7 linked regions of the Daphnia pulex genome follow. The protein of the gene in region 4 binds, or shares a complex with, the protein of the main gene of each other region. Links are inferred from orthologs where the notes say so. Each region holds a gene or a part of one and is shown on either strand. Other genes may lie near its edges. The genes, in order: pleiotropic regulator 1-like, serine/arginine repetitive matrix protein 1-like, armadillo repeat-containing protein 7-like, splicing factor 3B subunit 2-like, E3 ubiquitin-protein ligase RNF113A-like, small nuclear ribonucleoprotein F and U5 small nuclear ribonucleoprotein 200 kDa helicase-like.

Evidence for each region.
Region 1: splicing factor 3B subunit 2-like (region 4) and pleiotropic regulator 1-like share a complex: the UniProt entries of both Homo sapiens proteins name them as parts of the minor spliceosome. The link is inferred for Daphnia pulex from reciprocal best matches to the Homo sapiens genes SF3B2 and PLRG1.
Region 2: splicing factor 3B subunit 2-like (region 4) and serine/arginine repetitive matrix protein 1-like share a complex: the UniProt entries of both Homo sapiens proteins name them as parts of the minor spliceosome. The link is inferred for Daphnia pulex from reciprocal best matches to the Homo sapiens genes SF3B2 and SRRM1.
Region 3: splicing factor 3B subunit 2-like (region 4) and armadillo repeat-containing protein 7-like share a complex: the UniProt entries of both Homo sapiens proteins name them as parts of the minor spliceosome. The link is inferred for Daphnia pulex from reciprocal best matches to the Homo sapiens genes SF3B2 and ARMC7.
Region 5: splicing factor 3B subunit 2-like (region 4) and E3 ubiquitin-protein ligase RNF113A-like share a complex: the UniProt entries of both Homo sapiens proteins name them as parts of the minor spliceosome. The link is inferred for Daphnia pulex from reciprocal best matches to the Homo sapiens genes SF3B2 and RNF113A.
Region 6: splicing factor 3B subunit 2-like (region 4) and small nuclear ribonucleoprotein F share a complex: the UniProt entries of both Homo sapiens proteins name them as parts of the minor spliceosome. The link is inferred for Daphnia pulex from reciprocal best matches to the Homo sapiens genes SF3B2 and SNRPF.
Region 7: splicing factor 3B subunit 2-like (region 4) and U5 small nuclear ribonucleoprotein 200 kDa helicase-like share a complex: the UniProt entries of both Homo sapiens proteins name them as parts of the minor spliceosome. The link is inferred for Daphnia pulex from reciprocal best matches to the Homo sapiens genes SF3B2 and SNRNP200.

Annotation. Positions count from the first base shown.
Region 1 is NC_060021.1:1,388,871-1,392,685, reverse strand, and holds pleiotropic regulator 1-like, read left to right. Parts: upstream 1-1,167; 5' UTR 1,168-1,284; coding exon 1,285-1,293; intron 1,294-1,357; coding exon 1,358-1,464; intron 1,465-1,529; coding exon 1,530-1,672; intron 1,673-1,739; coding exon 1,740-1,859; intron 1,860-1,918; coding exon 1,919-2,103; intron 2,104-2,159; coding exon 2,160-2,309; intron 2,310-2,365; coding exon 2,366-2,560; intron 2,561-2,623; coding exon 2,624-2,742; intron 2,743-2,810; coding exon 2,811-3,012; intron 3,013-3,078; coding exon 3,079-3,270; 3' UTR 3,271-3,315; downstream 3,316-3,815. Other genes in the region: death-inducer obliterator 1-like, read right to left, coding at 1-221, 290-652, 710-833. UniProt on the Homo sapiens protein: Involved in pre-mRNA splicing as component of the spliceosome. Component of the PRP19-CDC5L complex that forms an integral part of the spliceosome and is required for activating pre-mRNA splicing.
Region 2 is NC_060027.1:2,460,199-2,464,283, reverse strand, and holds the start of serine/arginine repetitive matrix protein 1-like, read right to left. Parts: upstream 2,801-4,085; 5' UTR 2,652-2,800; coding exon 2,628-2,651; intron 2,469-2,627; coding exon 2,379-2,468; intron 2,294-2,378; coding exon 2,165-2,293; intron 1,852-2,164; exon of another isoform or gene 1,034-1,851; intron 833-1,033; coding exon 662-832; intron 591-661; coding exon 1-590. Other genes in the region: SH3 domain-containing protein Dlish-like, read left to right, coding at 4,017-4,065. UniProt on the Homo sapiens protein: Part of pre- and post-splicing multiprotein mRNP complexes. As a component of the minor spliceosome, involved in the splicing of U12-type introns in pre-mRNAs. Involved in numerous pre-mRNA processing events.
Region 3 is NC_060018.1:4,531,617-4,534,587, forward strand, and holds armadillo repeat-containing protein 7-like, read left to right. Parts: upstream 1-1,214; 5' UTR 1,215-1,312; coding exon 1,313-1,421; intron 1,422-1,488; coding exon 1,489-1,794; intron 1,795-1,860; coding exon 1,861-1,979; 3' UTR 1,980-2,471; downstream 2,472-2,971. Other genes in the region: probable G-protein coupled receptor, read right to left, coding at 2,523-2,562, 2,640-2,971. UniProt on the Homo sapiens protein: As a component of the minor spliceosome, involved in the splicing of U12-type introns in pre-mRNAs.
Region 4 is NC_060020.1:5,124,850-5,129,117, forward strand, and holds the start of splicing factor 3B subunit 2-like, read left to right. Parts: upstream 1-1,468; 5' UTR 1,469-1,708; coding exon 1,709-1,949; intron 1,950-2,036; coding exon 2,037-2,683; intron 2,684-2,745; coding exon 2,746-3,089; intron 3,090-3,159; coding exon 3,160-3,364; intron 3,365-3,434; coding exon 3,435-3,685; intron 3,686-3,760; coding exon 3,761-3,879; intron 3,880-3,943; coding exon 3,944-4,104; intron 4,105-4,173; coding exon 4,174-4,245; 3' UTR 4,246-4,268. UniProt on the Homo sapiens protein: Component of the 17S U2 SnRNP complex of the spliceosome, a large ribonucleoprotein complex that removes introns from transcribed pre-mRNAs.
Region 5 is NC_060022.1:4,929,451-4,933,195, reverse strand, and holds E3 ubiquitin-protein ligase RNF113A-like, read left to right. Parts: upstream 1-1,488; 5' UTR 1,489-1,712; coding exon 1,713-1,880; intron 1,881-1,951; coding exon 1,952-2,144; intron 2,145-2,200; coding exon 2,201-2,425; intron 2,426-2,508; coding exon 2,509-2,692; intron 2,693-2,757; coding exon 2,758-3,097; 3' UTR 3,098-3,245; downstream 3,246-3,745. Other genes in the region: protein unc-45 homolog B-like, read right to left, coding at 3,276-3,382, 3,467-3,635, 3,713-3,745. UniProt on the Homo sapiens protein: Required for pre-mRNA splicing as component of the spliceosome. As a component of the minor spliceosome, involved in the splicing of U12-type introns in pre-mRNAs. E3 ubiquitin-protein ligase that catalyzes the transfer of ubiquitin onto target proteins.
Region 6 is NC_060019.1:9,593,681-9,596,393, reverse strand, and holds small nuclear ribonucleoprotein F, read right to left. Parts: upstream 1,352-2,713; 5' UTR 1,211-1,351; coding exon 1,205-1,210; intron 1,126-1,204; coding exon 997-1,125; intron 878-996; coding exon 746-877; 3' UTR 737-745; exon of another isoform or gene 695-736; intron 683-694; 3' UTR 501-682; downstream 1-500. Other genes in the region: phospholipid-transporting ATPase VD-like, read left to right, coding at 2,404-2,707. UniProt on the Homo sapiens protein: Plays a role in pre-mRNA splicing as a core component of the spliceosomal U1, U2, U4 and U5 small nuclear ribonucleoproteins (snRNPs), the building blocks of the spliceosome.
Region 7 is NC_060022.1:2,646,595-2,650,824, reverse strand, and holds the start of U5 small nuclear ribonucleoprotein 200 kDa helicase-like, read left to right. Parts: upstream 1-1,430; 5' UTR 1,431-1,475; coding exon 1,476-2,766; intron 2,767-2,773; exon of another isoform or gene 2,774-2,779; intron 2,780-2,831; coding exon 2,832-3,985; intron 3,986-4,054; coding exon 4,055-4,230. Other genes in the region: zinc finger protein 704-like, read left to right, coding at 1-26, 121-354. UniProt on the Homo sapiens protein: Catalyzes the ATP-dependent unwinding of U4/U6 RNA duplices, an essential step in the assembly of a catalytically active spliceosome. Plays a role in pre-mRNA splicing as a core component of precatalytic, catalytic and postcatalytic spliceosomal complexes.

The sequences.
Region 1 (3,815 bases), on a different chromosome or scaffold from region 4:
CATTTCTTGCCGGTCAATCTGGCGTTGGGAACGCCGCTTAGGTGAAGGTTGGCGCGTTGATCCACCACCACCACCTATACCCGTCGAAACGCTATCAGAACTATCAACTTCAGAACTCATCGCACTGTCGGCGTTTCTCGAGTTACTAATTGCCGGGCCATGCGCAGCTGAATAACAATGGTCAAGTGAGATGGACGCAACAGCCTCAGTGTCATCCGGAGCTGGATAGAAAAAACAATAATATAATCTAGATACACTTACTACTACTACACAAAGTTATTTGGCAAACCTCCTGTAAGTTCGGGATCAAGCAGGTCATCTAGACCAGCTTCTGGTGGGAGAATATTGTTGAAAAAAGCCCCAGCTTCTGCTTGTAATGCATGCTCAATTTTCTCGATCTCTTCCTGATCAAGAGCTAAGAGTGGATCTGTTGTTTCTAAAACTTGCTCACTAATTTTTGGCCCTGCTTTGACATTTCCATTAACTTGAGCAATTTCCTGGTCAGTTTCCATCAATTCTTCCTCGTTTTCCTTGAGTACAGGGCTAGAGACTGGGTTGAAATCTTCTTCTACAGTTATGTTGACATCAGTACTGCTGTCACCTGCAACATCATTGACTCTAACTACGCTTAGAGTTGTATTCTCTTGAGAGCCTGAAAATAAGGTAAATGAATAAAAACATGATTTCCCTCCAAAATGTGACGACTTACTAAGAAGTTGAAGTGTTTCCTGATCAACTGATATGTCACCAGTGTCATTATCAACAATAATGATTAGTGTGTTTCCAGCAGAGGAGCTATCGTCTGTGGTATCTGCCACAAAAGTACTCGACATGCTGTTGTCGAATTTGTAGCACACTTGTATCTAAATGTCAGTAAACGAGTAATCCAAAACGCGTCACTTATTGACCAGCTCGGAACGGCCCACTATCAAAGTTCAAACCAAAGCCACTAAAAACTTCACCCGATTCTATGGGCAACCACAAGCCCAAAACTTTTTTGTTGACAAACTTTGAAACTCCTGATTGCATCAAAATACACATAAACACCAAGCCGACTCATGGCTAGATGCCGCCATTTTGCGTTTTTTTTATATAAATCAATTTCAATGTGCCATGTTGCCGGCGACGCTTCCAATAGAAGCCATCTGGCGTGAATAATTACATCTTCTGTTAGTCACTAACAGATGGCGATTTGATCAGTACGTTAGACAACGCCGGCAACAATCGAGTACAAACCTCATGTAAATTTTGATTTGGTTTCGTTTTTACAATATAACAACAATCATGGGAGAGGTAAATTTTGCAATTAAAAAAATTATGAACAATTTCTAATTTACAAAATTTCATATCTCTACAGGATATTCAGAAGCATTCCGTGCATACGCTAGTGTTTCGATCACTGAAGAGAACCCACGACATGTTTCTGTCAGAAGAGGGTAGTCTACCTCCTCTTGATCAAAAAGCGTGTGTTGAAATAACTTTACATTGTTTCAACGTATTAAGTAACTCAATTCTATTTGATTATCTAGAGTGTCTGCCTGGCGATCATCAAAAGCTAAAGATACGTATGGTCCAATAGTTGAACTGGTCAGGAAACAACAAGAGATAGCGAAAAAAACAGGGCTTCCGGTAAATTACCCTGGAGGACAGCTTGCTCTAACTAACAAATCTGGTAATTTATTTTCCCCTATATTGATTGGAAATATGTATTTTTAAGTGGAATGTTTATTTTTTTACAGAACAAGATGGAGAGACCAGCCAAGCTTTGGCTCTTATGCCTTCAGGAACAATCGGGGGACATCAGATGCCACAATCTTCAGCAAATGTATCAACTGTTGGTATACCAGGCTATGCTGCAGGTGAGAAAAATATGCAGTCATTGTTTTCCCATCTATTTACTAAAAAAGAATCTTATTAGGTGGACCCACAAACAATACACAATCTTTAATAACCCGTAAAGCCCCAACAATGCCCAAGCCACAGTGGCATCCACCATGGAAACTTTGTCGTGTTATCAGTGGTCATATTGGTTGGGTACGCTGTGTAGCTGTTGATCCTACGAATGAATGGTTTTGCACAGGATCTGCTGACAGAGTTATTAAGGTAATTTATTCCTTACATTTATAAGAGTCAAGTTTTTCATTTTGAAATTCTTATAGATTTGGGATTTGGCCTCTGGACGGCTGAAACTTTCGCTTACAGGCCATGTCAGCACCGTCCGTGCTCTTCAAGTCAGCCCAAGACATCCGTACCTTTTCAGTGCTGGTGAAGATCGACAAGTGAAATGCTGGGATTTGGAGTACAACAAAGTAGCCATCACCATTTCAATTTACCGTGTAAGAAATATTAACAAAATCTTTTTCAGGTTATCCGGCACTACCACGGCCATTTGAGTGCCGTTTATAGTATGGCCCTTCATCCAACCATCGACGTTTTAGTAACTTGTGGTCGTGACTCTACTGCCCGTGTTTGGGACATGCGATCCAAAGCAAACATTCATACCCTAACTGGCCACACCAACACCGTAGCATCAGTTGTTTGTCAAGCAGCCGAACCTCAAGTATTCAAAGCAGTTTTCGACACTCATAATCCAGAATTTTAATTTTACCTTTCGAAACCATAGATTATTACTAGTAGTCATGACAGCACTATTCGATTATGGGATTTGGCGGCTGGCAGATCAATGGCTACTTTGACGAATCACAAGAAAAGTGTCCGGGCAGTGGCAATGCACCCTAACCTGTATGAAGCTAACCCATTATTTCACAACACATTGAATGTACAATTAATTTTAAAAAATTATGTTGCAGCTACATGTTTGCATCCGCCTCGCCGGATAATATCAAACAATGGAAGTGCCCCGAAGGCAAGTTTATTCAGAATCTTTCGGGCCACAATGCCATTCTTAATTGCCTTGCCATCAATGCTGACAACGTAATGGTATCGGGTGCTGATAACGGATCACTCCACTTCTGGGATTTCAAGACTGGATACAATTTCCAGCGCTCACAGGTATAAATGCATTTAGTTGAAACTGTGTTTTGAACGTTTCTTTAACTGTTCCTATTCAAATTTAAGGCCCCCGTGCAACCAGGCTCAATGGATAGTGAAGCTGGAGTATTTGCCATGGCCTTTGACCACAGTGGTTCACGTCTCATAACGGCCGAAGCAGATAAAACTATCAAAATCTACAAAGAGGACGACGAAGCTAATGAAGAGACACACCCCATCAACTGGAAGCCCGACTTATTAAAACGGCGTCGTTATTAACTCGCCATCTCCTGTACCGTACAATACAACTTGATTTTTAAACGATTTGTTGGCGCAAACTTGTATTATTACTTCAGTAATGTGCTGAGTTATTATGCGCTTATGGATTATTTATATTATGGATAGCTCGGGAATCCCAAGCTATCCCGAGTCGGGATAGCTTTAGCTTGTCAATTATATAATCACTGATTTCAGCGTGAATGTTTTAGGCAATCAAATAGTGATGAGGTTCTTAGCAATTTAGAATACCTACTTGAGAATAATTTAGGGTCACTCCTTGTTTGTGATAACGTATTAGCTTTCAACAAGCAGCCAAATGCCACACGTAAAGAACGAGTACATAAAAATCTTCTGGTTTTCAATTCATCCCAAAATGTAGTTAGAAAAAATATTGTTAAAAAATGTTAAGACTAGTCAAAGAAAACCTTTTGCTTCGTTGCATAACATTTAATTATTTAATTTACAAAGCTCACGTTTTCACGCGGTCTTAAATTTTGAAACACTGTATTTTGGCGGGAAAAATGGAAGGGAAACCGAGAACCCTG
Region 2 (4,085 bases), on a different chromosome or scaffold from region 4:
CGACGACGTTCCGCCGACCGGTGTCGAACGGGTGACTTCCTCACGGGCGAACGGCGTGGTGAAGGACGCCGAGGAGAATGATTACGAACAGGTGAACGCCTGGGAGATCTTCGAACGGGCGACCTGCGGACCGGTGACCGACGAACAGGAGATCTGCGGGCTGGGGACCTTCGAACTGGAGATCTCCTAGCGGGAGAGCGGCGAACGGGTGATCGTCTAGCTGGCGAGCGACGAGCGGGAGATCTGCGTGCAGGAGAACGGCGAGCTGGGGAGCGACGAACAGGTGATCGACGTGGAGATCGACGAGGCGAGCGCCTTGCTGGCGATCTGGCAGGTGAGCGACGACGAGGCGGTGGCGACGCCTTGCCTCGATTAGGAGAACGACGCTCCAATGAAGGACGTCGGCCGTCACGACGAGGTGAAGAGCGGGGATTGTCTCCTTCCTTCTTGATCACCCTGTCCTTGTTGGGGCTACGGCTTCTATCTTTGGAAGCTCGTTTGTCAGTACGGTCGTTGCGTTCCTTTTCTCGGTCAGCGCGCCGATCCCGGTCGGCCTTTTTGATTGCTTCCTGGATTCGATCTTGTTCTTCCTGCAAACCAATAAAGACGAAAATGATAGAAACAAAACTAATACCGCGAATTATTTCCGATGGTTGCATACCTTTCTTAATTTGATTTCTTCCTTCTTCTGTGCCATAAAGACCTCCGGAATTCCAGCAGACGATTCTTGGGCAGATAGTAGAAGATCCCACAATTCAGTCATCAGAATCCTGGCATTCTTGCCGTTGAGGAATCCAGTTAAATTGATTTGCATGCGACGAGGGTCAGGGTTCTATAGGTTTTAAGAAAAAAAAAAGACAAATAACAGAAAAATCAAACAACCGAAATGGAAAAGAGATACTTAAGTAAACGGACACAAATAGATTAGGTTTCGGTATGATCTCGGCGGATTAAGCGAGCAATACCTTTCAGGGGTTTGCTCTTTAAAAGGATAAGCTGTTTTACGTAGTTTGTTTTGGTTTGTTATTCTTGCCTGAGAGCTCGACCAGAGTGACAACAGAAAAAAATCTCTTATTTCTTTTTTTCCAATCTGGGCGTTGAGGGAGAACCGAGTTTCCCATCCGTCATAAAAACACCGGCGACTCGGTATCAAAGAGACGACCACGAAGCGAGCGGCACAGGAGTTGTCCTGTCGACTGTACCGCCCAGCTATTGGGTCGTCATCTGACTAGTCCTACTCCTGATGGCTACCCCGGCACCACGATGCGATCGATCAGGTGATTTTTAAAGATGGGATGGTCTGTCGTCATCTATCAGGCAAATCTAGCAGCTTCGACCACGTTAGCGAACGGCACAGGAGTCTTATCTCTGTCGACTGTACCGTCCTGCTTTTTGGGCCGAGACGAAAGGATCTCTTCTTCTCAGCTTCTCAACACGGATTCCTGAGTAGGCCTACTGCGATCAGAGCCCGACTTAACCACACAGGAGTTTTCCCTGTTGTCGACTGTGCGGTTAACTATCAACTGGGGGAGAAGGCGTTGCATTGGCTGGGCGAAAGGCGATCCCAGAATTGCCTCTCATGACTCGATGGTTTAGAACGTGCCGTATTCCATCATTTCGCAGGAGTGAATCCTTCATCGGTCGACTGCGAAACGTTGGAAATCCAAATCCATAGACATCGTGGCCGACGATAAGAGGAATCGTCCACGGAACAGGCCGAAAGGTGAATCAATTCGAAGAGAAGACCTCGAAATAATGCGACCAGGTCTCGGTCGAGAAAGAATCCTTGCATCCATCATGTCAAGGTGGTGTGTGTGACATGGTGACAACAAGGCTTTGATGCAATTCCACATTAAGTCTTCATAACACAGGACCCAAAAGTGTACAAGATATTGAGATGAGCATGAGCACAGACAAAATATAATCAAAGCCATCTGGGTGGTGAAAACTTAAATCATAACTTATCTTTCACATTAAACCAAATTACAAACAAGAACCAGATGCAAAGGAGCTGACGTTCAATCATTCTTAGTATGTGATGGCTATTTCAGCCTGATATTAAAAAAATTGCATAAGATAAACAGCAGAATGATTGGTGAAAAGCTTTGGTGGCAAATGTTTCCCATAAGATAAATCTACACGGCTGAGATTAAAAGGATATTACCTTGTCAGCTTCGAGCTGATTAAAAACATATTCCACCAGGACGTCATCTTCAATTCCTCCCATAAGTTCTGTAATTTTGGTTGTGATCCATGGTTTGATGGTTTCCAACTTAACTTTGCTCATATCCACCTGAATTTTTTAACATGCATTAATGAATATTAACATGTAACTCATATTGATGTTGTTAAAGTTGCACAGGTGATCAATAATTTACCTTTCTAGTCACATTTTCAGCAAATTTGATAGTCTTCAAAAGCTTCTTCTCTTTGTCACTAAATCTATTGTCTTGCTCAGTTGAGGTGCCCTGTTGAAAGAATTCAAATATTACAATGCATCCCATCAGTTAACAAAACAGATTTCACAACTGATGAAGCAAGAATTTTACGACCGAGTTGGCGTGTCGAGATGCTGCAAACAATTCAAGGGAATAATAGTTCTAACTTGGGTAATTATTAACACTTACTCTGAAGAAACCGGCATCAGTCATTGTGAAAGAAAAATACCTCAAATCGAGGTAATTCTATAAAAGTAAAAATAAATGGGAGAATAAAGCCGGGCTAAACTCAAGTCTTAAATGGAGGACCCCTAACTCAATTGATCGCCTTCCCTCTTGTCCCTTCAGTCAGGAAAATGGAAACAGCATTGCCAGTTTAGAAAAATAAATCGACTGCTGCATATGCATAGCGCCAGCTCCTGCCAGCGCTTCTGAAAGAAAAAAAGGACAAAACATATCAAATATGGGTTACGCTACGCATAACTAATTTTCTTCGATGACAAAATCAATTGGACGAATAACGGGAAAATGCCAATCTAAGGTTTCCTCTCAATTTATCGACGCGAAATAATGTATCCCGAAATCATGGCGCGTCCAACCGGTTAATTTGACTATAAGAAAAATGTCGTTTTTTCAGTTGAAGCCAAAATTGCAAGGAACCTGTTTTGTCATTTGATCCTGCGAGTAGGTAGCAAACGGTCACTGCTTATTAAGTAGACTTGAGCTCCTTGAACTCTCTTTGCCTTTATAAAATAACTGTACGACCGGTGCAACTTTGTCCCCAAAGGCTTTTTTTTTTTAAGTGTAATAAGATAACCATCAAAAAGTATAAATCAACCACAGACAGAAATGGTTGAAAAGAAGAAAAAAAAATGAATTAAGAAAATAAAAGGCTTTCTTGTTGGTTGACTGACTACATCCCTTTTAGCTTGAGCTGGCATGCGCGCACCTTTTACGTGACCGCTAGGCTATAAGACGCGGCGGTGTGCACAGGTAAAAAGCGTCTCTTCCTTCCCAAACAAAAAAAACTCCAATCCTCAAGAAAAGGGAAGAAATAAATTAGCAGCAGCAGCAGCAGCAGCGAAAGAAGAAGAAGAAGAGCCCAAAGGTATATAATAATAAAGGTGCATATAGAGGGAAAGAATGTGAATGAAGGAAGAAGAAGAAGAAGAAGGTAAGAAAAAGAGCCCCTGGAGCATAAAGGCAACAAACTGTATTTGAGAAAACCTGGTTGGATGGAATTGGTTAGAGGGGGGATTGGGAGGTAAAGTTGTTGCTTCTTCTTCTTCTTCTTCTTCTTCCCATCTACCAGCAGAGACTGTTTTTCAAGGTGTGCAGTGCCAGTGGGTATTGGCGGAGGCCATGGAACAGAAGCAGAAACCAGGCCTTCTTCCAGGCTGACTCTTTCTGCTGCTGTGTCAATTCTCATTCTCACCTGACGACTGAACATACAACAATCGACATTGCCCTGCTAATTGTGTCAAACAAATTAAACTAATCAAGTGCATTTTACCAATCGATTTCGAGTTAATAGTGCGTGTGTTAGTGTGTGTTGAGTGTCTGGTGCACACCTGAGTCATGGCTTTCTTGTGTCCAGTGAGGATACGCCGAGGCAAGAAGAAAAAAGGTAACAAACTTGTCCAATTT
Region 3 (2,971 bases), on a different chromosome or scaffold from region 4:
CAACAGGAGTTATCAAATATACAGTCCTATCAATGATCATAAGAGTGTCGAACAACGGAGATATGGGGGGATCACAGTCTACCCCAATATCACTCGCATTCGAGTCATCAATTCGAATACGTTACGGGCATGGCGCCCCTTACCCACAACGTTGGGGAAAATGCCATATAAACTTTGGAGGGACATTAACCCATGAGCAATTTGGTGTAAGGAGCTGATTTCATTGTCAACATATAAATCCTGAGAATAAATTTGAAGAAATTGATGACAAGCAATCCCTTTCAAAGTTTGGCTCATAAATAAATACCTTGAAAACATTATCGAGTTCCATTGAAATGACATCACTATCTAGTGGGAAAAAATCAACAGGCAGTTCATCAATAGAAGTAAGAGTTCCATACACTCCTTTGTCCTAAATGAAGTAATAATTTTGTCAACAATTTCTTCTTCGCTGATTTAAGTAACTTTAACCAACCTTGAGCCGCTGTTCACATACTGCACTTCATCGGGAGATAAAAATTAACTGATATTCCTTACTAGCAGAATGTCCTTGGCTTTCTTCGCTGAAATGTAAATTAACTTATTGTTGACTATTTAAAGTTAAAATATGTAGATTATTCATACCTGTGCAAGTTATCGGCAATACAATCCATCAGCTCAACTTCAGGTCTTGTGATGAACAGTATATTTTTAACAGATATGGAAGGCAAGCACCCAGGTTTTAACTGGAACATTTTTACAACATCTAGTTCCTTAAGAAAACTGTATTCTGCCACCAAACCAATGGGGCCAGTGAGTTGTTCATCCCAAAATATTGCCTAGCATAATTGATGAATTTACGTACATTTCTTAAATGGAATAGCACACACCAATATACCTTTGTTCCACTGAACTTCTCTAAAAGAGGAACAATATCCTGTAACAATAACAAAACTGTTGACGAAATTTATTTTTACTGAACAAGACATCAACAGACTGTCAACAGACAACCTAATGGTTTTTGTGGTTGTCCTAAGTCACAAAAAGCTAATGACTAAATCCGCATAAAATGAAATAAAATTTAGTATTACCAAATGAATCGAAACTTACCTATCCGCTGAGATAAATTACTGTAAGTTTACACAAAAAGTTTGAAGAAAATCGATGCAGTAGTTTAGATTTCTATAAATTTATTCTGATTCTGAATTAAAGGTTCTGGAAGCCTGGCCCAGAACACCGTACACTCCCCCCACATCCCTCCCCCTCCTACACACCCAGACACCCGCATTTACTTTAATGCCTTCTGGTAGTACAAGTACTACCCTCAGGGATAATGTTTACTACTCGTAAACAACTTTATCGAAAATCGGGTAAAAAGGGAGTAGATCGCTTCGAATTCCTTCAAGAGTTGGTTAATGAATTCTATCAATCGAATTCTCTTGGTATGTTTCATCTTTAAAAACAAATTTTAAAAAATTACTACTAAATAATTTGTTTCAATTATTTTAGAAAGCCAAGAACAAGTTTTAGCTAATTTGGCCAATTTTGCGTATGATCCCTTGAACTATGATTATATCAGAGAACTCAAAATAATTGAATTGTTCTTAAACGGACTGCAAAGCAGAAATCCATTCTTTGTTGAATACTGTTTGAAGGGTATTTGTAATTTGTCCAATGATCCCCTGAACCAAGATATAATATTCAAACACAATGGACTCAATCATATTAAAGAATTTGTAAAGTCTGAAAACCCTGATTTAGTGAAACACGGACTTACTACTTTGATTTTTCTACTTTCATCAGCAATTCCATCAGGTAGTAAGATCTAATAAAAGTAACACCATTTTATGATTTTAATTTCTCATCTATGTTTATCAACAGATGTTGCCACTTCCGACTTGATTGCCCAGATTCAACTGTTAAAACATAGTGAAAATCAAAACATAAAGAACTTGGCTACCATTTTCTTAGAAGAGTCATCTGGCATCAGTTCAGGCTAACTTGAAAGGAAATGTTCATCAAGAGAATAAAGTGTATACTCCAGAAGAGCACCAACATGAAGATGAATCTTGCTGAAGGGATAAACAAAAGATTTCTTCAATCATTCATTCAGAAAGGCTCCACAGTAGTAGAACTTAAAAAAGTAACTTATGCAGATGTGGAAAGTTTTTCCAAGTTGACAGGTGACTTAAATTCAGTTCATTTTGGTGGGGAAGCTATAGTTCATGGGGTTTTGCTTAATGGCTTTGTCAGTGCTGTTCTTGGCACCCAGTTACCTGGGCCTGGTTATGTTGTTTATGAACAATCAATGACTTTTCCAAATCCCTGTCGAGTTGGTGATGATGTAGAAATTCTAGTAGAAGTCGTAGAAGCCAGAAAAATTGTTGTCTGTAAATACGTGTGCACAAGTATTAATCAGCAATGTGTTGTTCATCAAGGTACCGCTAAATTATTGAAATTTAAAGGATTAAAATAAAACCTACATCCATGTAGCCTATGCGTTTATTTCTCGGCGCGTCTCTTCAGCTGATCTACGTTTAACTTCAAGCAGGAAGAGGACTGTTAGTCCGTTCCAAGAACTCCCTAGACAGTTTTTCAAAGTGTAATGGGTGAATGTAAATACATAACTAATAAATTATAGGGATTAAATTAAAATTTACCAGAAATTTTCTGCCGCATTAGCTCCATGCTCTTCTCGATTTGCTGATTCTGTTTGCGTATTCTTACAAAACAAAAAATGCTTTGTCATTTGCATTTTGCCTTTGATTTCTATTCGGATGGCACGATTCAAGAGACCGTATAACAGTGGATTAATGCTGATTGATGCATACATAAGCCACGTCACCGTTATAGAGCCATTGTTTGTAACGTACCCAGGAACTGCGTCACACAGAAAATCTTCGTGATGAACAATGGGGATCACGTTCAATACCCAATAGGGCGACCACAGTACAATGTAGGAACCGATTGTAAGCACTAACGTCTTGATTGC
Region 4 (4,268 bases):
ACAAAAAAGGTAGCAGCCGATTCCTACAGTCTCGGGGTTAGCATCGAAAATAATAATAACAAGAGATGGGCTTCATCGAAATTGTTTTTTCCCGATGATGGCATCTATGGTGACGGATCACATCTCGTACGGGGGTTATTGCATACATGAATATGAATGGACCCGCAACAGAGGAGGTGAACGAACCACATGAGAGAGCCCTACGTCGTTGAAGGACACTTTGCTTTTATCAGTTAGTCCTGTGATACGTCCGGCAAACATCAACGTGATGTGGCCATCACTTTCTCTTTCATGTCATAGAAACCAACACGATATCAATGCAGGGCAAGGTAGATTACGTTCATGATTTACCTTTGTTCAAAGCCAGCCAAGGGTCGAATCAATAAATGAAGTTACCTCGTCTGCAAATGATATATCGATAAGCATGTCAGCAGACGGTTAGAGGACAAGGGTTGCTTAATAATCTACTGATAATAAATATACTACTACTAGCTGCAGCACACACACACACAATCTTCAAAGTGGGAAAAGCAACCAAATTGGTTAGTTTCTTGGCCTTGCGGTTGCACTGACCCTGGATCAACAATGCCCTATGGCGAAAAAGGCCGACTCTTTCACTCATCGTCAAAAAAAAGAAAAAATAAAACCGTAAACGTATATGAGAGACAAGGAGAGAAAAAGAAACGGTAATGGCTTCGTGGAAAGAATGTCAACGTGTATACGTAATGGCGTGAGAGTCTGAGAGAGACCTAGTGAAGTTGCTACACGGCCTGTGTGATGAAAGTCTCTTATCGATCCGGCTCACAGGCACATCTCACATCAGGGTTGTTGATAATGAAACTGATTTCTCTTTTAGCTTCTACCAACGTTTGATCGGTTCACCGACACCAAAAAATCTCAAGAGGGGTGAAATGGCCACACGCAACGTTTCTCATCAGATTTTACGAAAATGTGATTGTCGATGAGAATTTTCCCATCGAAAAACGATAATATCAAATAGGCTGGAAAAAACAATCTACAAAAGGTATGTACAAACGTAAAGGGGAGAGAACAAATGCCGTCGGTTTCACTTGATGCTGTAGACCTCTGGGCAGAGAGAAAACCAACCAAGACTGCCTTGAATGAGAAACTGAAAACAAGCCCCGACGAAAAGCCTGTCAACACACACCAAAACAGAATCGGCCAAACTTACCGGCCTCGCGATGAACTGGACGATCTCAATGAAAACAATACGTTCACAAACTAACTAATCACACCACTCCCACCGCTTTAGCAATACTCTCAGAGCACTTCGGTTTAAGAAACCGTTTTGACTGCAACTGCATCTCTCTCAGTGTGCCACCACAAAAAAAAATCATTTAAGATTCATCAGACTGCCATCTGGTGTTGATAGTGTGCACAAGCCTTTATTAAAAATTTAGGGCGCGTCGTGAACGCCATCTGCTGGTTTTCTGTGGTACCTCAATGAATATACGATTTGATCATGGCTTTTAGATTCGGCTTCATTTGGTCGTCGTTTACTCGCTTCACCCGTTTGGTTCTCTAACAAACTTGTTTTGCTATCGTGTTTCTTTCAAGGCAGTTTTAAATTAACGTAAAACTTCATCGTGTTTTACTTGGACGCGTCTATTTTGTCTATTGATTTGAAACACCCTTTTGATTGTGTGATTATTCTTTAGAAACAGAAAGTTATTTAGTTGAATTTGACATGGATCATCACATGCCGCCCGGCTACGGCCAGGAGAATTACATGTATGGAGATCCTTCAAGGTCCTTCCAGGGTAATGCTGTCGGTATGTATGGATCAGGTGCTAGACCGATGTCACCTCCTCCAGGTGATGAAGACATTCCCGCCCATGAACATCTCCCATCAGCACTTGAAGAAGTCCTTGCTTACAAAGAATACCGAGTACGAGAAACGGGCCACTCTGGAGAGGTTGATAACATTAGTGAGTAACACTTTTATAAATTTTCTAGTCTTCATGAAAGGTTTCGCTTGCAGGAATGAACTTTATTCTTTTCTATTTTTTTTTTAGTTAATGAAATCCCTGTCAAAACAGTTATAGAAACTGAAGGAACTATTGAAGAGAGGAAAGATGATTTCGGTGGGGAAGAAAACCTTGAAGAAAAAACTAAAACTCAAAGAAATCAAAAGAAGAAAAAGAAGAAGAAGCGCACTAAGAGACATCAACAGAAAGAAGAAGAAGAAGAAAATGAAAGGAATGATGATGCTGAAGAACCTCCACAAGTGGATATTGAGTATGTCCAGGAAGAAATCATTTATGACGACAAAAATCCTTTCTACCGACAGTTTGCCAAAATCTTCGAAGCATTTAAAATCATTGATGAAAAAACTGCAAAGAAAGCTGAAGAAGATGAAGCCAAAAAGAAAGAACTTCAAAGAAGTTTAGAACTTAAGAAGGTCCCCAAGTTTGCAGAAGAGGAAGATTTGGAGGAGAAAAAGGAAAATGCTGATGATGACAAGCCAAAAGTTTCAAAAAGAAAACTAAAACAACTTACTCGACTAAGTGTGGCCGATTTGAAGCAATGTGTTGCCAGACCAGACGTCGTAGAGATGCACGACGTTACTGCTAGAGACCCCAAACTGTTAGTTCTTTTGAAAGCAACCAGAAATTCGGTCCCAGTTCCTCGACATTGGTGTGCGAAGCGCAAGTACTTACAGGTATATTTTACTATGCACAAAGGGTAAACAATTCGTTTTAAACAAATTTTTTTGTACTTTAGGGAAAACGTGGAATAGAAAAGCCTCCTTTCAATTTGCCCGATTTCATCAAAAAGACCGGAATCATGGAAATGCGAGCTGCTTTGCAGGAAAAGGAAGAGTCAAAAACACTTAAAGCTAAAATGCGTGAGCGTGTTCGACCCAAGATGGGGCGTGTTGATATCGACTATCAAAAGTTGCATGACGCTTTCTTCAAATGGCAAACCAAACCCAAGATGACGATTATGGGTGATTTATACTATGAAGGAAAAGAATTTGAAACTCGAATGAAAGACAAAAAACCCGGAGAGTTGTCTGACGAACTGCGAACTGCTCTCGGAATGCCTGTTGGTCCTAGTTCAAACAAGTAAGAATCTATTCTTAATTTGACACCGTTTTGTGTTACAGTAGTTAATGTTAATGGCGTTTTCTTTAAGAATTCCTCCTCCTTGGTTGATTGCCATGCAAAGATATGGTCCACCACCGTCTTACCCTAACTTGAAGATTCCAGGATTGAACGCTCCAATTCCTGATGGTTCTTCCTTTGGCTACCATGCCGGAGGTTGGGGAAAACCTCCTGTCGATGAATTCGGGCGGCCTCTGTACGGCGATGTTTTTGGATTGACTGGAATCGCAGGCGATGTAAGAAAATATCTCATACTCTGTGTATAACAAATTCTATTAACCACGAATACTTTTGCCTCTTTTTCAGACAATTTTACTCGACGAAGAAGTTGATCGTACCTTGTGGGGTGAACTTGAATCGGAAGAAGAGGAGGAGGAAGTTGAGGAGAGTGAAGAGGAAGAAGGAGAGGACGAAGAAGGCGCCATTGATCAATCAGGTCTGGTTACTCCTGCAGAAGGACTTGCTACTCCTTCGGGATTCTCATCTGTACCTGCTGGTCTGGAAACACCAGATATGATTGAGCTACGAAAGAAAAAGATTGAAGCAGAGATGGAGAGGTATGTAACCAGTGTCAACTACTATACAACTGCTACTTTACATTTTTAATTATTCCTATTTTCACTCTTATTTAGTAACGAAACGCCTCAGCTGTATACCGTCCTTCCAGAAAAGCGAACGGACAGAATCGGTCAAGCGATGATGGGATCTACCCATGTATATGATATCGCTTCAGCTACGACCACTCAGAAGAGTAAGATTTGTCATTTTTTAGTTAATTTGTTGTTATTATGATTTTTCAATTAAATTTTTCATAGGTAGTGGTGGTGTGGAACTTAGTTTGGATCCCTCCGAGTTGGAAGGTTTGGACTCTGAATCAATGGCCGCTCGTTATGAACAAACATTGCGGGAGCAACAAGGCAACTTGGCTAAGGAAGATTTCAGTGACATGGTGGCTGAACATGCCGCCAAGCAGAAGGTAAGTCGTAAATCCAAATCAGTGATTATTAACTTGATTAATAAAATGTTTTCGTAATTGCAAAAACAGAGCAAGAGAAAGAGACAACAACAACAGACGGACACTAAACAGGCCAAGAAATACAAAGAGTTCAAATTTTAACATCCCTTTTGAAGCATTAAAAA
Region 5 (3,745 bases), on a different chromosome or scaffold from region 4:
ATGATATATACGCTGAAACTGCATATAGAGAACATAGAGCGAAAAGTCTTCATAAAAGGGCAGCAGCCCCATTAGAACGCGCGCGTAACTTGTGTGTGCTGTGTAAAGGATTGATCCTGCTGCCGTGCTGGCCCTTCTCTCAAAAGCCCCTTTTATACGTGTATAGTAGTGTAGCATGTGGATATTATATATCTTGTCTGGATCATTCAGCTTCTGTATAAATAGGCCCTCGCTTTATGCATAACATGTATCTATCATTGAGTCCCTATTTATAGCCTCCTCCCCTCTTTGCATAGAACGAAACGGTATATCTGCAAAACTGTGCTGCAATAAGTCAATGTGCCAATCCTGCTGGAGGAGGAAGTCAAAGTTTGGCTAGATGGGCTTTTCAGTCAGCGACAAGTTTGACCGAAAAATTACTTATACGGTACGGCGAAATAAAAATATTTTTTGTTTTAAATGAATAGGTATAGATATTGTAGTGCAGTATAGGTGTATAAATGGAGTCGGAGGATGGAGATCAAGTAGCTTTTCATCGGACGGTGAAGCGCTTCGTGCACTTTTGCGGCCGGGTTTTCTGGCCTGCGCGTTCCTTATTATTTCAACTTGATGAAAAGTGCTGGGCTAATTAAGGCGCTGTAAGGGAATCATCAAGCGAACGGCCCCCAGCAGCTAGCAGTCTGCTGATGATATAGAAATAATAAGCGCGACATCGGGCAAAGACGAAAGAGGCCCGCGGAGAACAAGCCCCCAAAAACCAGCAAAAAGAAAAAAGTAGACGAACGAAGAGGAGATAACAGTTCAGTGGCCGCCGCCCCACCCAGAAAAAAAAAATTAATAAAAATTGGGTAGGGGAATTAAGAAAATAGAATTATTATTCAGTCATATGTGGCGAAAAGGTTCTTAAAAGCTTCGGCAGTCTTTTCTAATTGATCGCCAGCAGAAGCGTATATAGTGCGTATTATTATTTCGAGGAGAAGAAAGAAGAAGGTCCTCAGACTCTGTGATGCGCCGAGCACATCTATACATATATACACGCCACCAGATTATTAGAGGGGAACCTACTAATTAATGAAAGGATGCTCCTTTTTGTACTGCCTGTGTGTAATCGAGTCGCCAGAGATTTTTAAGTAACGTGATTCTTCCCCCCATCCATTTCATTTGCACAAGGAAAATAAATCACCAAGGCATATGGAAATGATTAGAAGAAGACCATAAGAAATGACGACGATGCCTAATAATAATGATGTAAAGCAATAAGATATGTCGATTTTATTTTTCCAAAACAAATGCAAAATAGCAAAACCCGTAGTAGTAGTAGTAGAAACGGATGACGTTAAGATATATTCAAAGTCTCAAGCGGGTTTTCGGGGTCGGATCATTAATACCGACATCGTAGATGACAAATCTGGATCACAATAATAAAAGCTTTTGTGTGTGTGTGTGTGCATAGTTCTCTATGTACTAGTCTCTGTTGCTGTGCATATATATGTAAATCTGCAGCAGATCCCTTGCTGCGTATTCAATCAGTCATCAAGAACCCAATTAGAGGAATCAGACAACAGTGCACCGGTAATCCTTTTGAAAAGCCGACGACGAGAAGACGGAAGGATTTTTATTTTATTGTTCTCGTTTGTTGACAAGTCAAAATACATTTTTATATACAAAAAAGGAAAGCTTGATCCAACAAGAAAATCCACAAACAAACAAAAATGGCCGACGACAATAAAGTTTGCACGTTTACATTCAAGAAACGAAGAGGAGGAGGAGCCGCCATGAGGAGAAAAGCTGATGATGACAAGAAAAGCAGCAGCGAAGATGAAACTGTTGTTGCTCGAGTGGGGAAAAAGGAATCGGCTGGACTTCTTTCGGCTAAAACTGTGAGTTATTGAAAGTCTCTGCAAAAAGAATTTGTGTTTCTCATCGTGTTTTTTTCTTTTGGGGTTGACAGTTCAAATCCACGAAAAAGTCCCGTCAAGAAATCCAAAACAGCTCTGATGAGGAAGTCAAGGAAAAGGTCACAGTCGTCTTCCAGTCTGACAGAAGTGCTGAGAACAAGAAAGACGATCTTGCCACTTCCACAGTTCAGATCGACACTGCCGTCGATCAAGATGCCAGGACAATTTTTGAGAAATCTTTACAAAGTAGGTCAACTTTTTTATTTAAAATGAACCAAAATAATGTTTTGTTTCTTTGACAGTCCAGCAGGAGCTGAAAGGCAAAGCAGATGACAAGAAATATCGTGGCCTTGCTAACTATGCCCAGTACTACGAGAAAAGAGATACAGCCCAAGGAAATGCTGCATCTGCCAATGTGAGAAAAGGCCCCATGCGAGCCCCAGCCAACATCAGGTCAACAGTGAGATGGGATTACCAACCAGATCTTTGTAAAGATTACAAGGAAACGGGTTTCTGCGGTTTCGGAGGTATTCAAAATCTAACCAAAAGTTTTTGGGGTTATTATCATCATTCAGTTGAACTTTTATAAAGCTTTGCTGTGTTTTATTAGACAGTTGTAAGTTCTTGCACGACCGTTCCGATTATAAATTCGGATGGCAGTTGGAGCGAGAAGAAAGGGGAAAAGGTGAGCCGGCCGAAGACGACTCAAAGTATGAAATACACTCGGACGACGAAGATTTGCCCTTCAAGTGTTTCATCTGTCGCGAGTCGTTCCAACATCCCGTTGTCTCCAAGTAATAAAGACTCTCTCCTATTCATTTATAAGAAGGAGAATTTAACGCAAATTTTGACACGGCAGGTGTAAGCATTATTTCTGCGAGGCCTGCGCCTTGAAACATTACCGCAAATCGCAGCGGTGTTTTGTTTGCGGCAAACAAACTTTTGGTGTCTTTAACCCGGCAAAGAGCCTCATCGAGCGGCTCAAGTTGGAGGAAGAAGGCAAAACTTACAAGGAAGCAGACAGCGACGAGGAGCTCAACAACTTGGAATTGATTATGCAGCCGTCTGGCAGCACTACTGGTAAACCTACGGGAGCAACAGCAGATGTGGAGGAGCCCGTTACGGAGATTGAGCACATTCACTACGCAGACGAAGGAGTCGTGGCCAACGATACGGATTCAGATGATGACAGCGATTGAGGATAAGATCATCTTTATTTTTTCCCCCTACCATTCACGTGTAAGAATACATTATTTTGTAATTCCTTCTTTTTTAAATAATGCTTTCAATTGACGTATAAAGTGTATTTAACTTTAACGAGTGAATTTGCATAGGCACACAATTTAATTTTTGTTTAAATCATTTCATTAAAATTTATCAAGACTCATCTTCAGAGTCGTCCTCCTTCTCGATCAGTTTCCATTGCTCGGCGATTTCCAGGGTTGATTTGGCGCAGTCGCAAATTTTGGCCATTTCAGGTGTTTCTGTGTGCAGAGCGGATTCAAATGGGTTACAAAAAAGATTAGTTCAAGGCACCATGTCAAAAGTTTTAACTTAATCCTCTTTACCGAATTTGGTGAGAACTTCCAGGACCATAATAACCTCAGGTTGCAACAACTTTTCGGCCAACTCTTTCGAATGACTGGCGATGTTTTTGACGATAACAGCTCCTCGATATTGCACGTCTTTGTCCGTATTGCTCAGTAGGAAGCAAAGGATTTCTTTCCACTCTGTCGCCTATTGACAAATTTAACAAGAGAAAAAAAAAGTTAAAATCAATTCCAGGGAAAAAGTTAAAAAGAATGGAGGCAAACCTCGAAAACTTTCCGTGAAGCCCGTTTACTGAC
Region 6 (2,713 bases), on a different chromosome or scaffold from region 4:
TAAATGTGATCCTGACAGTAACGTTTTAATCTTCGTTGTCTAGTTAGGAACGTACATTTGTACAATGTTTATTATTTGTTTCAAACCGTAGTAATTCATCTCGGAGTTCAACAGCCTATAACTCCCCTAACGTTCAAACGACAGTGATAACTTGCGCATGCTTACCGTCCTATAGTGTTAACAGCCGTGTTACATGCAGGCCAATTGAAACGTATTGAACAATTAATATTCATAAGCAATTAGGTATTCTTATGACATCAGCTGGTACCAGCGTGAGCCAATCGGAAAAGGTGTTTCCGGATTTGTTTGCCTTTTTGATTTATACCTTACAAAATATATTTACGAACAAGTTGGTGTAAGTGGAAAAGAAATGTGACTTGAGTTTTACGAGCATGCGGGACTGCGGGCTGCCTACTAACTTCATTCATAAGGTAGCTTAACCATTTTCCATTTAGACAAAGCCTTTATTTTCCGACTAAATGGAAAAAATCGCCGGAACGTAAGAAATTCCAGTATACTTAACATTAAATCACCAATACGGTAGACAACGGTTCTGTGTTTGGAATTTGGATACTGAAAAGCTGTTTTTTTACTTGTTTGTCCTTCGTTGTCTGTGGGAATCTTGTAATGTATACACCAGAACATATTTTTTAGGGTTTCCAGGTTTCCTATACAATAACTTCTATGAGATAGATAGGAAATGACATTATGTATTAAAGGATGAAAAATTCAATACAAACAGCAATCAATCTCTCATTTCTCCCTCCTCATCATCTTCTTCCACTCCACGTATGTAAAGTACATTGTTGCACCTGACAAGAACTTCACCCAAGTTTCCAGTACAGCTTCCATCAATATATTCTTCTGTGTTTGCCAACTGTGATAATATAAGAAGAATTATTGCCATTGTTCATATATGCACACTGTTTCGTGCAACAGCATGTTTTCATTTTTTTACTGATGAAAATGCACTACATGGTATAATTATTACAGTACCTGAAGATTCATGTATCCATCAACTGAAACGAGATAACCTTTGTATTCATGGCCCCACTTCAGTTTTACCATAATCGGTTTGCCGGTTAAGGCATTGAGAAAGGGTTTGGGATTGATGGGCATGGGTGCCTGAAAATATGAAATATAACATGTTAGTAAATGGTCGGCTAAAAAGGACCACCCAACAAGATTTAGGTTTTGAACTTACTGCCATGATTTGTATTTGTTTTAGTCAACGATTTTACAAAATTTGATTGAATGTTTGACAAGCGAGTCAAGCCGCGTTATTTCAGTTTACACGTTCTGTAACGTAAAGATCAGAAGTAAGGGTTGCCAAGTCGTCTTATTAAGTACATCAAATTTTGAGAAAGTTTTTCCATTTTGTAGGAAAGAAATTTACATATTTAAACCTAATAACTAGTGAACTAAAATTACCTTATAAAATAGGATTATTTAAATAATTTTTTGATGTAATGTAATGAGATATCCATCGTAGAGCAACGATCCCGGATCTCTGGTTCCGGACCAAAAACTCACGTCACCTATTCTGTTTTCAATCATAATAGCTGGAAAAATTTACAACCAAAGGAGAATTTTTTTTTATGTATCGTTATTAAGTGATTTTGTTTAATAAGTGACTCGTGGTCGTGGATATGAAAAGTCTTTTTAACAAATTGGCAAGAACAGAGAAGCTTCACAACCAGAATTAGCGCTCTCTAAAAAGTAATAAAAGAGGGTTTTGCGTTTCGCGGAATTAAAAAGATAGGAATTTATCACAGTTTGTCTTGATACAGAAAGACTTTTTAGGTTCAATTTTACATTTTGGAAGCTTTTAAACGGTCAACAAACCGGTTTCTTATTTCACTCCGGTGTCCATTCCGCGCAATTTCCTTTATTATCGGTTACCGAGTGTAAAATCTGGCAGTAAAGCTTGTACGGTGTATGCAGCAGAGGCTGAAAGCAGTGCACAGCTGGAATTTGCCGTTATATACGTGGACACACAACAAGTTGCTCAGTTGCTGACACTAAACTCTATCTTACCATTCTTTCATCTTTTTGCACTTTTTTTAAAGTTGACGTCACTTTCCAACCGATTGTTTTTCTTCCATTTCCTCACTGGGTTCCATCATTGGACCAAATAAACGAACAATCGTTCCACTGTTAAGACGATTTGTTGATTTTAGTCTGCCATGGACATTTTTTGAAAACAAAAGCTGACTTGTCTTTTTCAGCAATATTGAAATAAGATGTTTGGTGAGTAAATAACTCTCCCTTTTCCATTGCTCAGAAGTTTGTGTTGATTTTGAGTTGGTTGTTGGTAGTCACAAGCTTGACAGTTAGTTTCGTGAATGGTTAAAGAAATTCAATTGTAATTGAATTTGGTACTCTCTCATTTTCAGGGACGGTATGGATTTTGATTCACCGGGTACCACCTACATTTTTCCTGATGTGATGCAACCCCCAATAGAGCTTGAAACTGTCAACCCCCTGCCAAGCAGGGGTTGGCCGGGTGGAGTTAAGGGACATGTTCGCTCTGCAAGTCATGGTGTCATCGGAGTTTCCTTATTGAATCCAACATTACATCCACAGCCCTCTTCGCCATCCCCTGCAATTGGATTATTGGAGGCAGCTTCAGGATTGAATAAAGGGGAAAGATCTTCACAAGATGCTTCTTCTGCCAATCCAACAGTTTTAAAACTTCCTTATACAGGTATTT
Region 7 (4,230 bases), on a different chromosome or scaffold from region 4:
GGTCTTCCGGTTACGGATATGGCTCGGTAAGTTGCCACGCCCTACTAAACTACACGACCGTGATCAATGTCAATTATAGATTTTCACTAATTTTTTAAAATTTATTTGTTATTATTCTAGAATGCGCTCAAACAGGCCAAAGTGGTTGTGTCGCCCAAAACGTCTCCTTCACCGGCGCCCCCACTAGCGCCACCATCTACTACCGGAGCTTCGGTCTTTACAGTCAAGAGCAGTCCCGTTCGTCGGCCCCGCGGCGAGGCCAAAAAGTGCCGCAAGGTTTACGGAATGGAACACCGCGAGCAGTGGTGCACTCAATGCAAATGGAAAAAGGCTTGCACTCGCTTCGGCGAGTGAAACAAATGACTATACCACACCCCAATGTGTACGTATATATATACTATTTAATCCTTTCCGAGAAAAAGAAAAACAACCGCTCGGATTTCCGACTGTAGAAATTTAATCCGTTTTCCGCTTGATTTTGACATGGAACAAACGTCTCCCCTCCTTTTTCTTTGTCTGATTGTGTTTTGTTGTTTCATGGCTATTTTTCTTTTTATTGTTGTCGACAGGAAATTTTTTTTTAAATTTTGATGTCTGGTGCTGGATGTATTGCGGAATAGGAGCCAAGTTTTTGTGCGGATGACGGATCTCAAAAGATCTATGACACTTGGCGCGCTGGGCGGTTGATATTGTTTGAAACCATTTTTACTTGCGGGCAACTTTTTGACAAAAGACAAAAAAACGTTTTGACTTTATTTTTTATTTTTTTAATTATTATTGGCTTTCGTATTTGTTATGACAAATTCATGCCGGAGCGTGTTGTTGTGTGTGCATAATTTTCGTTGTGAAGATGCAGTGTTGTTTTGTATCTTGCCACTGACCAGGCTGCCGTAGCTCAGTGACGATTTCTCTGACTGGTGTCGTTATTACCTCTCGTACAACATCATTGAAAAAATATTGTTTTCATCCCTATGTCCCACCTCATATCTGCGTTACTCTCAAAAAAGCTTTGTACAGCGTTAGATGGCTTTTTTCTCTACCAATGTTTCTTTATTTCGTCGATTTAGAGTTATTTTTGCAATAACGCTGCGTGAATTTTAACGTTTATAGATTTACCCTATTTAGACCTGATTTTGTTTTTCCATCTCCTTTGTAGTTCGCATAGTGGGGGGTTTTGTTTCTGTGTTTTTTTCTCATTTCATTCTCAAGACCGATGGACTTTTGAAAAATGTTTGGTTTTTTCTCCTTACAAAAATGGTGTTTTAGTTTCTTAATTGCTTTTTTTCTGTATTTTTTTTATCCCTTTTTTCGCGCGTGTCGACCCAGAGTTTTATGGCGAGATTTTTAAATTTTTCAATATACAAATTTCCTCTCGAATTCTGAATTTTGTTTTATTACAAACTGGCAACGCTGTCAATTGCCTGTTCGAACAGCATACGAAACTTTCGTCAGTGTCTAAAAGCAAGCCGTAAGAAATGGCGGACGCCGCAGCACGTTCGCTCCAGTACGAGTATAAAGCCAATTCTAATTTGGTTTTACAAGCTGACGTTCGTTTAATCGATCGCCGAGCACGAGATGAAGCCACCGGTGAGGTTATGTCCCTTACTGGGAAGTTGGAAGGAACTCGCATGGGTGACAAAGCCCAACGGATGAAACCGGCAAAACGTCAGAAGCGTGATCCCAACAAAACTGATATTGGTGGTAAAAATGGTGGAAAAGGACCTTTGCAAAGCGACAACCTGGATGAAATCTCTGGCATCATCTACAGGCCCAAAACGCAGGACACCAAACAGACTTACGAAGTGCTTCTCAGTTTTATTCAGGAAGCGTTGAGTGATCAACCCAGAGATGTGTTGTGTGGTGCTGCTGATGAAGTCCTCACGGTTCTCAAGAACGACAAGCTCAAGGATAAGGAGAAGAAAAAGGAAACAGAGGCTATGCTTGGCTCCTTGCCAGAAGAAAGATTTGCCCTGCTCGTTAACCTGGGTAAGAAGATCACAGATTGGGGCCAAGACGAGAAAATGGGTACTGGAGAAGAGCAAATGGACGACCAGTATGGCATCAATGTGCAATTTGAAGACACAGACGAAGAAAACGAAGAAGAAAATGTGTATGGAGAGATTGGAGAAGAAGATGACGGTGAGGATGAAGCTGATGAAGCTGAAACAGACCATGCCATTCATGCTGATGCTGTCGCAAGTGGCGTCGATTTGGGCGGTAAAAAAGAGAAGAAATTGCATCCCCTCGATATTGATGCCTATTGGCTTCAGAGGAAGCTGTCAAAGTTTTACAGTGACCCCATGGTGTCTCAAGCCAGAGCCGGTGAAGTCCTCAACATCCTCAAGAATATCCAGGATGAAAGAGAATGTGAAAATCAGCTAGTTGTCTTGCTTGGTTTTGACTGCTTTGACTTCATCAAGCTGCTTAAACAAAACAGACACATGATTCTTTACTGTTCGTTACTGGCATCCGCACAGAGCGAAGCTGAACGTCGAAGCATTCAAGACGAGATGAAGAGCAATCCCCATCTGAACAAGATCCTTCGACAATTAGATACTGTGAGGGACGACACTGGAATCGAACCGATGGAAGTCGATTTTAAAAAGAGTTCACGTCAAGGTACTTCTGCCTCCAAAGAAGTCGGAGGTGGAGGACAGGAAGGGTACAGTGGCATTCCAGGTCTTCGAGAGCTACTGGACTTGGAGGATCTTGCATTCGCTCAGGGCTCTCACTTCATGGCCAACAAAAAGTGTACACTTCCAGAAGGTATAATAATTTAGTTTCTCATCTTTTAATTTCAATCAAAATTTAAACATGGACTTGTATTGCAGGTTCTTTCCGAAAACAGCGTAAAGGCTACGAAGAAGTTCATGTGCCACCATTGAAACCTAGGCCTTTTGATGCTGATGAAATGCTTATTCCTATCGATAAACTTCCAACCTACGCCCAACCAGCTTTCGAAGGATTCAAAACGCTCAACAGAATCCAGTCTAAAATCTATAAAACAGCTCTCGAATCGGATGAGAACATGTTAATTTGCGCCCCAACCGGCGCCGGCAAAACCAACGTGGCTTTGTTGACAATGATGAGAGAATTGGGCAAGTACATCAATCCGGACGGAACAATTCGCGTTGATGAATTCAAAATCATCTACGTTGCACCCATGCGTTCGCTCGTACAAGAGATGGTGGGCAGTTTTGGCAAAAGACTGGCGCCTTTCAACCTGAAAGTTGCCGAATTGACGGGCGACCATCAACTCAGCCGTGAAGAAATTGCACAAACTCAGGTGATTGTCTGCACGCCCGAAAAGTGGGACATTATCACTCGCAAATCAGGAGACCGAACCTACACGCAACTGGTCAAGTTGATGATCTTTGACGAAATTCACTTGTTGCACGACGACCGTGGTCCAGTTTTGGAAGCCTTGGTAGCTCGTACTATCCGCACCGTCGAATCCACTCAAGAAGATTTGCGATTGGTGGGTCTTTCTGCCACGCTTCCCAATTACGAAGATGTGGCCACTTTCTTGCGTGTCCGACCCAAGACGGGTCTATTCTTCTTCGACAACAGCTACCGCCCTGTACCCTTGGAACAGCAGTACGTTGGAATCACGGAGAAGAAAGCTGTTAAGCGTTATCAGATTATGAACGAAATTGTATACGAGAAGGTAATGGAGCACGCCGGCAAGAATCAAATTCTCGTCTTCGTTCATTCGAGGAAAGAAACCGGCAAAACAGCACGTTCCATCCGCGATCTTTGTTTGGAGAAAGACTCTCTGGGAGCCTTTCTACGTGAGGGTTCCGCTTCTACGGAAGTTTTGCGCAATGAAGCCGAACAAGTTAAGAATCAGGAGCTGAAGGACCTACTTCCCTATGGTTTTGCCATCCATCACGCTGGTATGAGCCGTGTGGACCGTGCTTTGGTCGAAGATTTGTTTGCTGATCGTCACATCCAGTTGCTCGTTTCCACAGCTACTTTGGCCTGGGTAAATATAATAACTAATCAGAGCGTTTTAGAAAAGGTCAAATTTTAACGATTTTTTTACCAATATTAGGGTGTCAATTTGCCAGCCCATACTGTCATCATCAAAGGAACGCAAGTCTACAATCCGGAGAAAGGTCGATGGTGCGAACTTGGATCTCTCGATGTCTTGCAAATGTTGGGTCGTGCTGGTCGACCGCAGTACGATACCAAAGGTGAAGGTATCCTCATCACCAACCACAGCGAGTT